3 linked regions of the Rattus norvegicus genome follow. The protein of the gene in region 1 purifies or fractionates together with the protein of each later gene. This does not show direct contact. Links are inferred from orthologs where the notes say so. Each region holds a gene or a part of one and is shown on either strand. Other genes may lie near its edges.

Region 1 (3,748 bases):
CCTTCATTCTACCTGAACCAGATGCCTTCTCACAAGGCCCTAGAGATGGTTAGAGCTTATGTCTTGGCAACTGTTTCTGGGTTAGGATCTCTCCAGCCTGGAACTCTGCTGTAAAGTAATTCCTCCTCTCCTGACTTCTTCCTTTCCTTCAATCCATCCATTCCCCAGGACATGCATTCCCAATGGCATCTCCAGCCAGAATCCCTCCTAATTGGTCTGTTTTTGTCAGTTGCATGCTCCATTTCTACCTGAAACCTCCTAATCTCCATGATCTCTTTTCCTTCTTAAGCTTATGTTTTGTAAGATCCTTTGGTCTTGATTCTACTCCTGTATCTTGCACAGCCATCCCCTTATTTTTTCCAATGGCCACAGTTTGGAGTCAGAGCATAGAAATGTTGTTCCAAAGGATTTCCCTAACTCTCGCCTCATTACCCTGTGCCATCTCCCCACTTAATACTCAAAGGCTTTCTTCCTTCTCCTGCCTGCCACATTACCAGTTCTTAGACCCACAGGAACACCTGCAATCCTCTAACAGAACTATGTTCGTTTCTCATAGTACTATTCTGGCCATGATCTAGTTGATCACATCTACCTAGAGCCTTCATACAATCTCAAAAAACATGCTCTGGTAGGGAACCAGTCTTCTCTACCCTTGACAGTTTGTCTCCCAAGCACCTCAAGGTTAGTTTCTATGGCAATATCTGCTAACCAGACTCTGGCTGCTACCTTCAAACCTCAGCGTCCTGGAAGGCTTCCCCATCTGTGGATGATTAATTGCCTTAACAGACACTGACTAGGGGCTGGGGATTTAGCTCAGTGGTAGAGCGCTTACCTAGGAAGCGCAAGGCCCTGGGTTCGGTCCCCAGCTCCAAAAAAAAAAAAAAAAAAAAAACCAGACACTGACTCCCCCCCCCCCCCCCCGCAATGCACATGTTGGGGTGGTCTCCATTGCTGTCAGCTGAGCAGCCTGCCTGCCCTCTTGGAAATATCATCTACTCTCTAAACAGCCACCACAAAAACAAGTACAGTAAAACAGGATGGCTACTCCTTTGGATAGGCAGAGCACATTTACTAAGCTCAAGAAAAGAAATTCAGTACAACCAAGAGTGCAACAGCATCCAGGATCTCTGGTATAGTAACAGATCTGTAACTCCAGCACTCAGGAATGCTGATACAAAAAGATCACAAAGTTGGAAGCCAGCCTACAATATGTAGACTTGTCATAAATAAATAAGGAACAAGTAGGGTTAGAGAGAAGGCTCAGTGCATTTAACACAAAACTATTTGTTCAGAGAACTGGAGTTTTGTTCCCAGCACTGACATCCGGTCGAGATGCTCTCTGCTGGTCTCCAGAGCCTTCACTCCTTCACCCAGGTGCACATACAGACACTTGTTTTTTCAAGTGTCCTGTGTAACAGCCTTCACTGTCCTGGAGTTCTGTTGATCAGGCTGGCCTCGAACTCACAGAGATCTGCCGTCCTCTGCCTCCGGAGTACAGGGATTAAAGGCAGGTGTCACCACACCTGTCTTCACTCTTTTTAACGACAAAAAATTAAGGAGACTCTAGTGACTACATATCTTCAATATTCCTCTTCACTTTCCATTTGCTTCGGCTTATAACTTCATGCTTCTCACGCGTGTAAACACGCTTTATTTAAGGGCCCCTAGTCAAGATATCTGGGTTTCCTATCCAAACAGCCATACACTGAAACATATTTTAGAGGAATCTTCAACGAACATTTACTAGAAAGGCATCCTTAATCTTCTGTAGGGGCTCCCATTCAGTATCTGTCCTCAACTTATCCGTATCACAACGCAACATGTGCAACAAAAGAAAAACCAGCAGCTTGGAATGAGAAAGAGTGGGTCCTTATTTCCACGGGGGGGGGGGGGGGCGCGGAGAGTCTCCAAGAGGTGCTGACGTGCTCTGTGGCTAGTTCCCTAGAGCACTGACTAGGAGCATTTCGGGGATCAGGCCTTACCCTAGGAAGCTGCCGCGGGTAGAAGGTGGCCCCGTTGCGCCCGGACAGGTCCGTTCGTTCGGCCTGTACAGGATCTAAACTAGTACATCCCGGGGATTTTGCACTGACAGCGCGAGCTCTCCGGCTTCTCTCAACAACCGCAGCAGCGGCTGAAGAGCCTGAGGTCACGCCGGGAGCGGCAGCCAGGCCCGCCCTGCCGCCTGTTGCAATCCCTGCTCCCATAGCTTCGAGGGACCCGGACAGGCCGGAGGCCACACTCGGACCCACGACTGGCTATAGAGAGTGGTCGACTGGGCTGCGAGGGCCACGGTCCGCCTCAGCCACGCGCAGGCCTCCGCCAGCCCGCGCCACGGCGCCAGGCCCGCGCCGGACGCCCTAGGGTCGCCCGGCCGGGCCCCCGCCACGTCAGGCAGTCGCCCGCGCCCTCCCCAGGCGCCCGTGATACTTGGCCCGTATCCCCGCGTCCGCCGCTGTCCCCGCTCCCTCTCCCATCCCCGCGTGCAGCGCAAGCTCGGCGACGAAGGCCTGCCAGGCCCACACGGTTCATGCCTCGCAGCTGACCTGGTGCTGCCGCAAGCTGTGGCCGCTCTCGCAGCAGGCGGGAGGCGGGAGGCTGGAGGTGGGGGCGGAGCCTCACCGTCACGTGTGATGCTGCGCAGGCGCAAGTGGACTACAGGGGGATCGCTGCGGGGCGGGGCGGAGCGAGGCCGAAGAGCGGGACTGGGGCTACACTGTCGTTGGACCGCTGGTCAGGAAACGCCACCCTAGAAGTGCCTTTTGGAGGTGCAAATTTATGCCCTTCTTTCCCTTCCTCCTTGCCTCATTCTTACCCTCACTCATTCTCTCATAGCTTCTTTGCTTGCTTGTCTCTTCACACCTAATCACTTACCCTCTCCCTCATTGCCTCCTTCCTCCCCTCACTCTCCTCTCTCATTCATTTCGTTTCTCCCTGCATTATTTCCTTCTATTCCTCATCGCGTATTCATTACTTCACTCATTGCTTCACTTGTCCCCTCCTTCTCGCTTCTTCCTTGCTCCCTACGTCGCTCCTACCCTCTCGTTCATGCTGTCTTCATTTCCCTCATCCCCTTATTTATTGTCTGAGTTCTTCCCTGTGCCTCTTATTTCTTTCTTCACTGGCCCAGGCATTCGCTTGCTTGTTTCTTCTCTCACTGTACTTTAGACTTTGGAAGGTCGCTCGCCCAGTGCTTTCTCTGGAGAGTGAAAATAAGCAAGGCCTTTATGAACAAGTGTTGATTTTCCTCTTTTCTGAGACTCTAGAGTAAAATCTCAAAACTCAGCTGCCCCTAGCTGTCCTGAGGACACCCACTTTTCTCTGCCTCACCTCCAAGAGGATCACACTCTGAGGGGTGCATACCTATAGCAGAATCCCAGAGGATAGCTGTAGGGCCTTCTTACAAATAGATAGAAGGAAACTGTAGTTTCAATGTGGAGAATGAAAGATAGGGGAAAGATATCACTAAGGAAGCCTCCTCGTGAAAAAGAGGAGAGAAGAAGAAAGTGAATAAAAGAAAGGCTGTTTCAGGTGAACCCTGATTGATGCCTGGAGGCTAGATATGGACCCAGAAGAAAAGATATGGACCCTCTTTCTAGAGAAAGAGGCGCCCAATGTAGGTGGACTTCTACCTATCAGGGCTCCCTGGAGCAAATGACAACACAGCTGGGGACTTTCAGACCATGATAAAAGTATTCTAGCAAGGGATGGTATACATATATAGAATACTTTTATCATGGTCTGAAAGTCC
Region 2 (3,739 bases), on another chromosome or scaffold:
TCCCTCTGGCAGAGGTGGCAGTAGTTTCTTGGTTGGTTTTGCTTTCATGTATTATTGGATAAATACTGTTGAGGCTGTAAGCTCCAGGGTACTGCACAATCTGTTTCTTCATACTAGGAAGAATACGCTGTTTTAACCTTTGATTAAACTCTATGTTTACTATTCTAATGTTAGTGCATATTCTGCTCTTTTGTTTTTGGAGACAAAAATTTTGCTATATAACTCAGGATGGCCTCAGACTCATGATGCTATCACCTCACCCTCGAAAGAGCTGGGACATAAATGTGGACATTACATCCAGTCATCTTCTGCTTCTTGATAGACCCTGACAGAAACAACTTCAAACGTTTTTTTCGAGCAGAGGGGGAAAAAAAGAAAGAAAGAAACTGATGACTATTCAACAAATAGAATCAGAATTACTGAAAGAAAAAGCAAAGTTGGGCATGATAGGAGACATCTGTGAACACAGTGAGGAAGTGAACACAGGAGGACAAGAGTTTGAGGATGATAAGAATCACACAGTAAAACTATACATAAAAAAAAAGTCAAGGACTAAAGAGATGGCTCCACAGTTAACAGCACTGATTGCTCAACAGGTCCTGATTTCAATTCCTAGCAACCACATGGTGGCTCACAACCATCTGTAATGGTATCTGATGCCCTCTTCTGGTGTGTCTGAAGACAGCTACAGTACACTCATATACATAAAATAAATAATTCTAAAAAAAACTTCACAAGTAGTACATAAACTTATAATATAAAAACAAACCAAAACCAAAGCCAAGCCAAAACAACAACAATAAAACCTGGCAACTACCTAACTGTCAGAAGACTGGAAAAGTAAATTGTGGTTTATCGTCATGTTATGATATAAAAAATGGCTTGACCATTTTAACCCATCTCCTCTCATCTCCATTTTTAAAGTCCAAGCTACTTCCCCAGAAACCAAAAGTACAGTCAAACTTGTGTGCTGTTATTCAAAACAGCTATAAGACTTATCCTACTTCCAACAAGACTATCACCATAAAAGTCATATCAATTCTCAACCAGCCCTTCTATATGAATAAGAGAATGTGAAGTAATAAAAATTGTTCATAAATATTAAATGAAAATTATGGTCTTATATGCTTTATTCTTAAAGACAAGTAATATGATTCTAAAAAGAGAAAAAAATTACTATAATACAATGGTTATTTTCTTTCTGTTGCATCTTTTTAAAAGAAAATATCTTGTTTATGTTTTCTTCAGTAAATATTTATTTATTTGTACTTGGGAGTCACTTCAGGACCTCTTGCATACAAGTGCCACCACAAAACTGTATCGCCAGCATTTGCTTCTTTGAGACAGGGTCTCAACTAAGTTGTTCAGAGTGTCCTTTAGCTTACAGTCTTCTGCTTCTGACTCCTCAGTAGCCAAGTTGTTAGGCCTGTGTCACTGTGCAAGGCTAAGCATAGCTAGCAATATAGAATATATTAAATTGTAAAATATCTTCAAAACAAAAATAGGTGTTTTTCAAACTGCTATATACTGCAGAAGTTGAATTTCAATGAAGCCTTATCTTCCCAATCTCAGTGGGAATTTATTATTAATGAAGCATTAGTTAGGATAAAATTTAAACAATACCCTAGTGTTAGAAAACATTAAACTACTGATTGTCAATTTGTCATTTTAATCTGAGGTTGAATATACCACAAGGGAACTTCAACAACCTGCAGAAATATGCAATTTAAACTTAAATGTCCACATTTAAGGTATGTGGTTTTCAGATATCATAAGTTGGTCTATAAAGCCTGCAAAGAAATATTTTCTTTCAGTTCATAGTTTCAACTCCAAATACTGGTGGCAAAATTTAAAACATCATATTCATGCCTAGAAGAGAGAAAACGGACTGCTGACATAGCGTCAAGAAATTCATCCCACCTTCCAATATAAAACACAAACTTAAAAACAAGAAAAGTACAATTATGTGTAAGGAATCTTAAGCAATCCTGGTCTGACTTAAATGACGAGTGAAATATCGCAAATCCCTCGACGAATTCAATCGTAAAAAGAACAATAATCACAATCTCGGGCCCAAAAAAAGCGCTCTTTGATTAGGGACTTCAGGGCCCATTAATTTTAGAAGCAGGACCATTAGCCTTACAGTCTATGTCGTCACTGGGAGCCCTTTGGGCTTTGACAATTCCCACTTGTTTAGCATCTTTCTACACAACACCAAGCTACCAGAAGAGTGACAGGTAGAAAGCAACCAGGTTCCAGAGACATTAGACAAAGTGCAAGGGGGCGGGGGTGGGGGCACTCAGCAGATAAATGGGCCCAAGTATGATCCGCCTCACACTGGGGCTAAAATGGGGCTACAAATAAATGACCCCATATGTTTCGGGCGCCTGGGACCACTGTCCGCCATCCTCGCTGCTGAAGTACCTGACTCCCTCTCAAGGTCTCCCAGCATAGACCGTTAGTGGCCCCGGTGCCTTCAGTTTTTGACAGCTACATTGCGGGTCCTGACAGCTGTCCCAGCTGGATACCCTTCCAGCGTCCGCCCAAATAGCTTTCCTGTTGCCCTCAGGATGCTCACTTAAGGAAGCCGACATGCTCTTCTCCGTCTACCAGCACTCGGGCCGCGGAGATCCAGTCCTGAGGCTTCACCCCTGGAACAACTGCACGTCCCTCGATCTTAAAACGATCTCCCAGGGCGACCCCACTACCTCCCGGGACCTCGGCAGCAGCCCCAGGCACCTCCGAGCTGTGGGCATCTCCTGATAATAATAGAAGCAGGATGAAAAAGAAACCCCACAGAGCACCCGCCATGACAGCAGCTCTGAAGAGTCAGGCCTACGGCCCCGGAAGCCCTACCCTGCCGCAAGGCCGCTCCAGCGGCCACCGCCGTCGCCCGCCGATGTCGTCATCACCACAAGCCGGATCTAGCATCGAGCTTGTCCACGCCCCCGGAGAGAAGTTAGGACAGTTGACTAATCAGGAGATGAGCTGCAGAACCGACGCTCTGAACCACCAGGGCTTAAAAGGTGGCAAGGCTTTTAAGCGAAATGCCAGAACGTCTAAGGTGAAGTAAAGGTGGAAGAGAGTGTATTGCTGTGGCGTCCACAGATGCAGGACTTATCGTGGGCGTAAAGGATAGAGACCGAGAGGGACCAGGATCTGAAGTGTTGAGTGCTGGGTCTGTAGCTAACACCCAGACATCTACTCTATCATTTTCTCAAGGTTCTTGCTAGCTATAACTATTCTCCTTTCTACTACAATCTCTGTAAAAAAAAAAAAAAAAAAAAGGAATGAACGAAGCTCTTGATGTAGAGTGGAAATGCAGAAATGTGGGCTGAAAAGGAGAGTGTGTGTGTGTGTGTGTGTGTGTGTGTGAGAGAGAGAGAGAGAGAGAGAGATCTATGTTTAAGAAGTACGTGAAGAATGTTTATTTTCATTCCTTTTTAATGCTTTGTTTATTTAACATACACAGATTGAAGACTGAGAAAGTAAAGCGCTCACTATAAATGGTCTCTGATGTACCTAATACACAGACAGGGCAAATGACAAGACCAACGGAAAACAGCATCTAGCAACCTTTCAGTTCTTTATTTACCAAGAGTGCCTCAACCCTGCTTTGTTTCTCACTGTTTTCTAGCTGATGGCTAACATTCTTTTCAGAGTTGATGCTTACCTCCCTTAAACACCTCAGTCATTGAGCAGAGGCCTACATACTGTAAAAATTCATCCATCTCTTCTA
Region 3 (3,748 bases), on another chromosome or scaffold:
CATATACCAGGCCCTAAGTACATTGGGAAAGGAGGAGAGCACAGGACTAAAGAACTGATGAAAATCCAGAGCAAAATGGCAATGGGGGTGAGGTGGGGATGCAGAAAAAAGGGAGGTCTAATGCTAAATAGCACAAAAGCAGAGTCATCAAAGAAATGCGTAAATGCAAGAGAGTTGAAACTCTTAACATACAAAGTTGAGTCAAGTGCAGTAATGTATACCTATGACCCCAGCACTGAAGTGGTGGGGGCAGGAGAACTGAGAGTTTGAGGCTATCCTGGATGAATAATGATCCTGTTAATAAACGAACTGAGTATGACGGCTCATGCAAGTAACCTCAAGATCCAGGAGGGTAAAACTAGAGGACCCAAGAACAGGACCCAAGAGTGTTTGTACACTTTGCCCTTGTGTTTGTACACTTAACTCTTGAGATTCTTCTAAACCCTCGGAGTATAACTTGTCCGATGCTCTGAATAAAGGCTATTGCTTGAGACTTTAGTCCACCTCACTTTTAGGCTCCATTCTCCCAGGTTCCATTCCCCCTCAGGAGTGGTTAACCATCGCTGTGAGGCTGGATTGGGCTCCACATAAAGACCCTGTCTCAGCTAACTTGGGAAGTTCACGGCAGTTCACAACTGTCTGCAACTCCAGTTCCAGGGGTCCCACACCCTCACACAGACATAGGTGCAGGCAAAACACTAGTGATGCGCATAGACTAGGAAGAGAAATTTTAAAAAGATAAAGAAAACCATACCTCTTGAACTTCAAGATTACAGGTGGTAGAGAATCACCTCCCATCCCACTTCTTACCAGAAACTCACAGGCAGCCACCAATCTGTCTCTTGACCTTTGCTACTTGCTCCCCATTTCTCTGCTTCCTCGGGATCTAGCTCTGTTTCTGCCTACTCTTGTCTTGCTGAAGTTTCATGCTTGTATCCGTAGTTCTTTTATTATCCTCACAGAGTACATTTTCCCCTAGACCAGAGGTTCTCGGCTTTCCTGGTGCTGCTACACTTTAACACGTTCGTCATTTTGTGGGGACCTTCAACCATAAAATCAGGCTCTGGATTCTCCCATGCACAGTTCTATTCCTTTCTCGTGGATCTCCCCGTGGACAATCCAGCGCCAACCAGGTTCCTTTCTCACACCCATCTTGGGACACTGAGCTCCCCTCGCAGATCTAAGCTTATCTTCAACAACTACTTGGCGCGCCCCCTGGCGGCAGCCCCGAGGCTGCACGCTGCTCCCCCTAGCGGCCGCGCCCCTGCACTACAGCGGCCTAGCGCCCTGCCCCGCCCCGCCCCAGCCTGGTCGGCCCGGCCGGGGGAGGGGTCGCGGCAGCGGCGGCGTCAGCGACACCGAGGCGGTAGGAGCTTCAGGCTCCGGAGCAAGATGGCGGCGCGGGTGCTGCTCGCGCGAGGAGGCCTGCTGCGGCCAGCCGCCCCCGGCAGCTTCCTGCCCGGGCTCCGGTGAGCAGCGCCGCCCTTTCCGGGGCCCGGCCGGGGAGGGGCCGCCGTGGGGCGAAGGGCGCGGGGTCCCCGGGGCGGGGAGGGGACGCCGGGGGCCGGCCTCCGAGTCCCAGGCGACGGAGGGTTGGCGTGGCTGCAGCGCCTTCCCCGGGCCCCTTGGGGCTCAAGGTCACGGTCCTGCCGGCGCCGCCCTTGCCGGGGACGCCCGGGATCGCGGGCCATGTCCGCCCGCAGCCTCCGCGCGCTGCGCCCCCCGCAGTAGCGATGCCTCGCCCCAGGTCGCGAAAGAATGGCGGGTTCCCCCCAGGGAAGCTGCACCCCGAGGTCCCCACTCGGGACAGCCCTTAAATTTGAAAGCGGAGTGGATTAAAAAAAAAAAAAAAGTAACCGACGGTGGCGGAGTTCGCAGTTGAAACTTTTTCTTCTCCTAACCTCGGTGGAGTCTGTTCGGTTGTGTCCACCTGTCACCTTGACATCCCCACGTTTATTAAGTAACGAAAGGCCATCCGAATTTCCAGATTTGTTTTCCCTTCTTGCCTTCCTTTGTATTGTTTTTCATCTCTAAACTGTTTTCAGGATTTATATATATTTTTTTATGTATATAAGTGTTTGCCTACCTGGACGTCTATTACATATGTGCCTGGGGCAGCCAGAAGGTTTTGGATCCCCACTACCGGAGTTACAGCCTGTTGGGAGCCGCCATGTCGGGGTTGGGAATGGAATCCTCTGCTAGAGCAGCAAGTGTTCTTAACCCCTGAGCCATCTCTCCAGCCCCTATTTATTTATTTGTTTATTTGTTTATTTATTTGTTTGTTTATTTATTTATTTATTTATTTATTTATTTATTTATTTATTTATTTATTTGAGACAAGGTCTTGCTACATATATCCAGGCTGGCCTCGAACTTTCTGCAAACCTTCTGCTTCAGACTCGGAAGTACTGTAGTTTCAGGTGTGCACTACCGAGGCCAGCCTTGGCTAACTGAAATGTTGCCTTTGTTTTTTGTTTTTTGGGTTTTTTTTTTATATCTCTGCGTGCATGCACACGTGTGTTTGTAATTGATTTTTCTCCCACCAAGTGGGTCTGGGAAATTGTAGTTCATCAAACTTAGAAGCCAGTTTCTTTACCCCTTAAGCCATCTCAACAGCCCCGGAACTTTTCTTAAGATTTGTTTGTATGAGTGTTTTTACCTGCATATATGTATGTGTACCATATGCATGCCTGGGGGCCTACAAGGATCGGAAGAAAGTATCTGGTCCTCTGGAACTACTGTTACAGAAATAGTTGTGAGCTACCACATGGGTTCTGGTACTGGAACTCTGGTCCTCTTGGAAAGGAGCAAGTGGTCTTAACCACTGAGCCATCTCTCCAGTACAATGGGGGCACCATATAATATGACTCGTCTAATTTAGTGGCAATCTTAAATAGTGAGGTATGCATCTCACGCAGACATAGAGACAAGAGACACATCTCTGGGGGAAAAGTGTGTGTGGTCGCTTTTGTTTCAGGACCCATGCAACTTGTAGATGCAAATTATTTAAATCACCTGTAATATGGTTTCCAAATGAAGTGAACAGACAACTTCCCTATCTGTTGTTACTTAGCAAGCACTCTGAGCCCCTAAAGTTTGCATTTTGTTCCTTGGGAAACAGGCAGCTGAAACTCAAGGTGCTCGCTCAAGACCTGATGCTCAAAGTGGTAAAGCTGGTAAACTAGATTTGGACCTGCCAGGTACCCATACTTGGAGCCAAATGCTCTCTACCCTGTGAGTGCTTGAAGACACTCTCACCCTCCTCTCTCCCTTTCTGCCAATCCTCTCTGGGAGCTGTTCAAAGAGGAGGAAGAAAAGGGGGTCCAGAGTAGTTTAGAACCTTGTAAAGTCTGAGGTGTAGGCTGTTCAAATAGAAAATCCAAATATCTGGGCTATAGGCAACTGATGGTAATTAGCATATAAGAATGTTGATAGATACCTGGATTTCATTATTCTGTGTTTTCACTGAGTTTTTTTGGTGGTGATGGTTTATTGTTATTCTGTGGGTTTTTGGTTGGTTTGGTTTTTTGTTTTGGTTTTTTGGTTTTGGTTTTGGTTTTTTTTGGGAGGGTTAGGGTTTTTTTTTTTTTTTTTTTTTTTTTGTCTTTTCGGGGGATGGGGATTTGAGACACAGTAACCCTAGTTGTGCTAGAACTCGATCTATATATCAGGCTGTCAAGCCTGCCTCTGCTTCCCTAGTGCTGGGATTAAAGGCGTATACCACCACCTCCTGGCTTGTTTTTTTTTT

Evidence for each region. Proteins that work in one complex are often made in the same cells at the same time.
Region 2: the proteins of Klhl22 (region 1) and Emc7 purify together in Homo sapiens (co-immunoprecipitation; 3 studies listed by BioGRID and IntAct, counting the BioPlex papers as one, with this or other methods). This does not show direct contact. The link is inferred for Rattus norvegicus from reciprocal best matches to the Homo sapiens genes KLHL22 and EMC7.
Region 3: the proteins of Klhl22 (region 1) and Nipsnap2 purify together in Homo sapiens (co-immunoprecipitation; 3 studies listed by BioGRID and IntAct, counting the BioPlex papers as one, with this or other methods). This does not show direct contact. The link is inferred for Rattus norvegicus from reciprocal best matches to the Homo sapiens genes KLHL22 and NIPSNAP2.

What each region holds. Positions count from the first base shown.
Region 1 is NC_086029.1:96,733,442-96,737,189, forward strand, and holds the start of Klhl22 (kelch-like protein 22), read right to left. Parts: upstream 2,575-3,748; 5' UTR 2,544-2,574; intron 2,439-2,543; exon of another isoform or gene 2,205-2,438; coding exon of another isoform or gene 1,983-2,204; intron 1-1,982. UniProt on the Homo sapiens protein: Substrate-specific adapter of a BCR (BTB-CUL3-RBX1) E3 ubiquitin ligase complex required for chromosome alignment and localization of PLK1 at kinetochores.
Region 2 is NC_086021.1:119,717,519-119,721,257, reverse strand, and holds the start of Emc7 (ER membrane protein complex subunit 7 precursor), read right to left. Parts: upstream 2,847-3,739; 5' UTR 2,812-2,846; coding exon 2,579-2,811; intron 1-2,578. UniProt on the Homo sapiens protein: Part of the endoplasmic reticulum membrane protein complex (EMC) that enables the energy-independent insertion into endoplasmic reticulum membranes of newly synthesized membrane proteins.
Region 3 is NC_086030.1:32,577,908-32,581,655, reverse strand, and holds the start of Nipsnap2 (protein NipSnap homolog 2), read left to right. Parts: upstream 1-1,352; 5' UTR 1,353-1,392; coding exon 1,393-1,469; intron 1,470-3,748. UniProt on the Homo sapiens protein: Protein involved in mitophagy by facilitating recruitment of the autophagy machinery required for clearance of damaged mitochondria.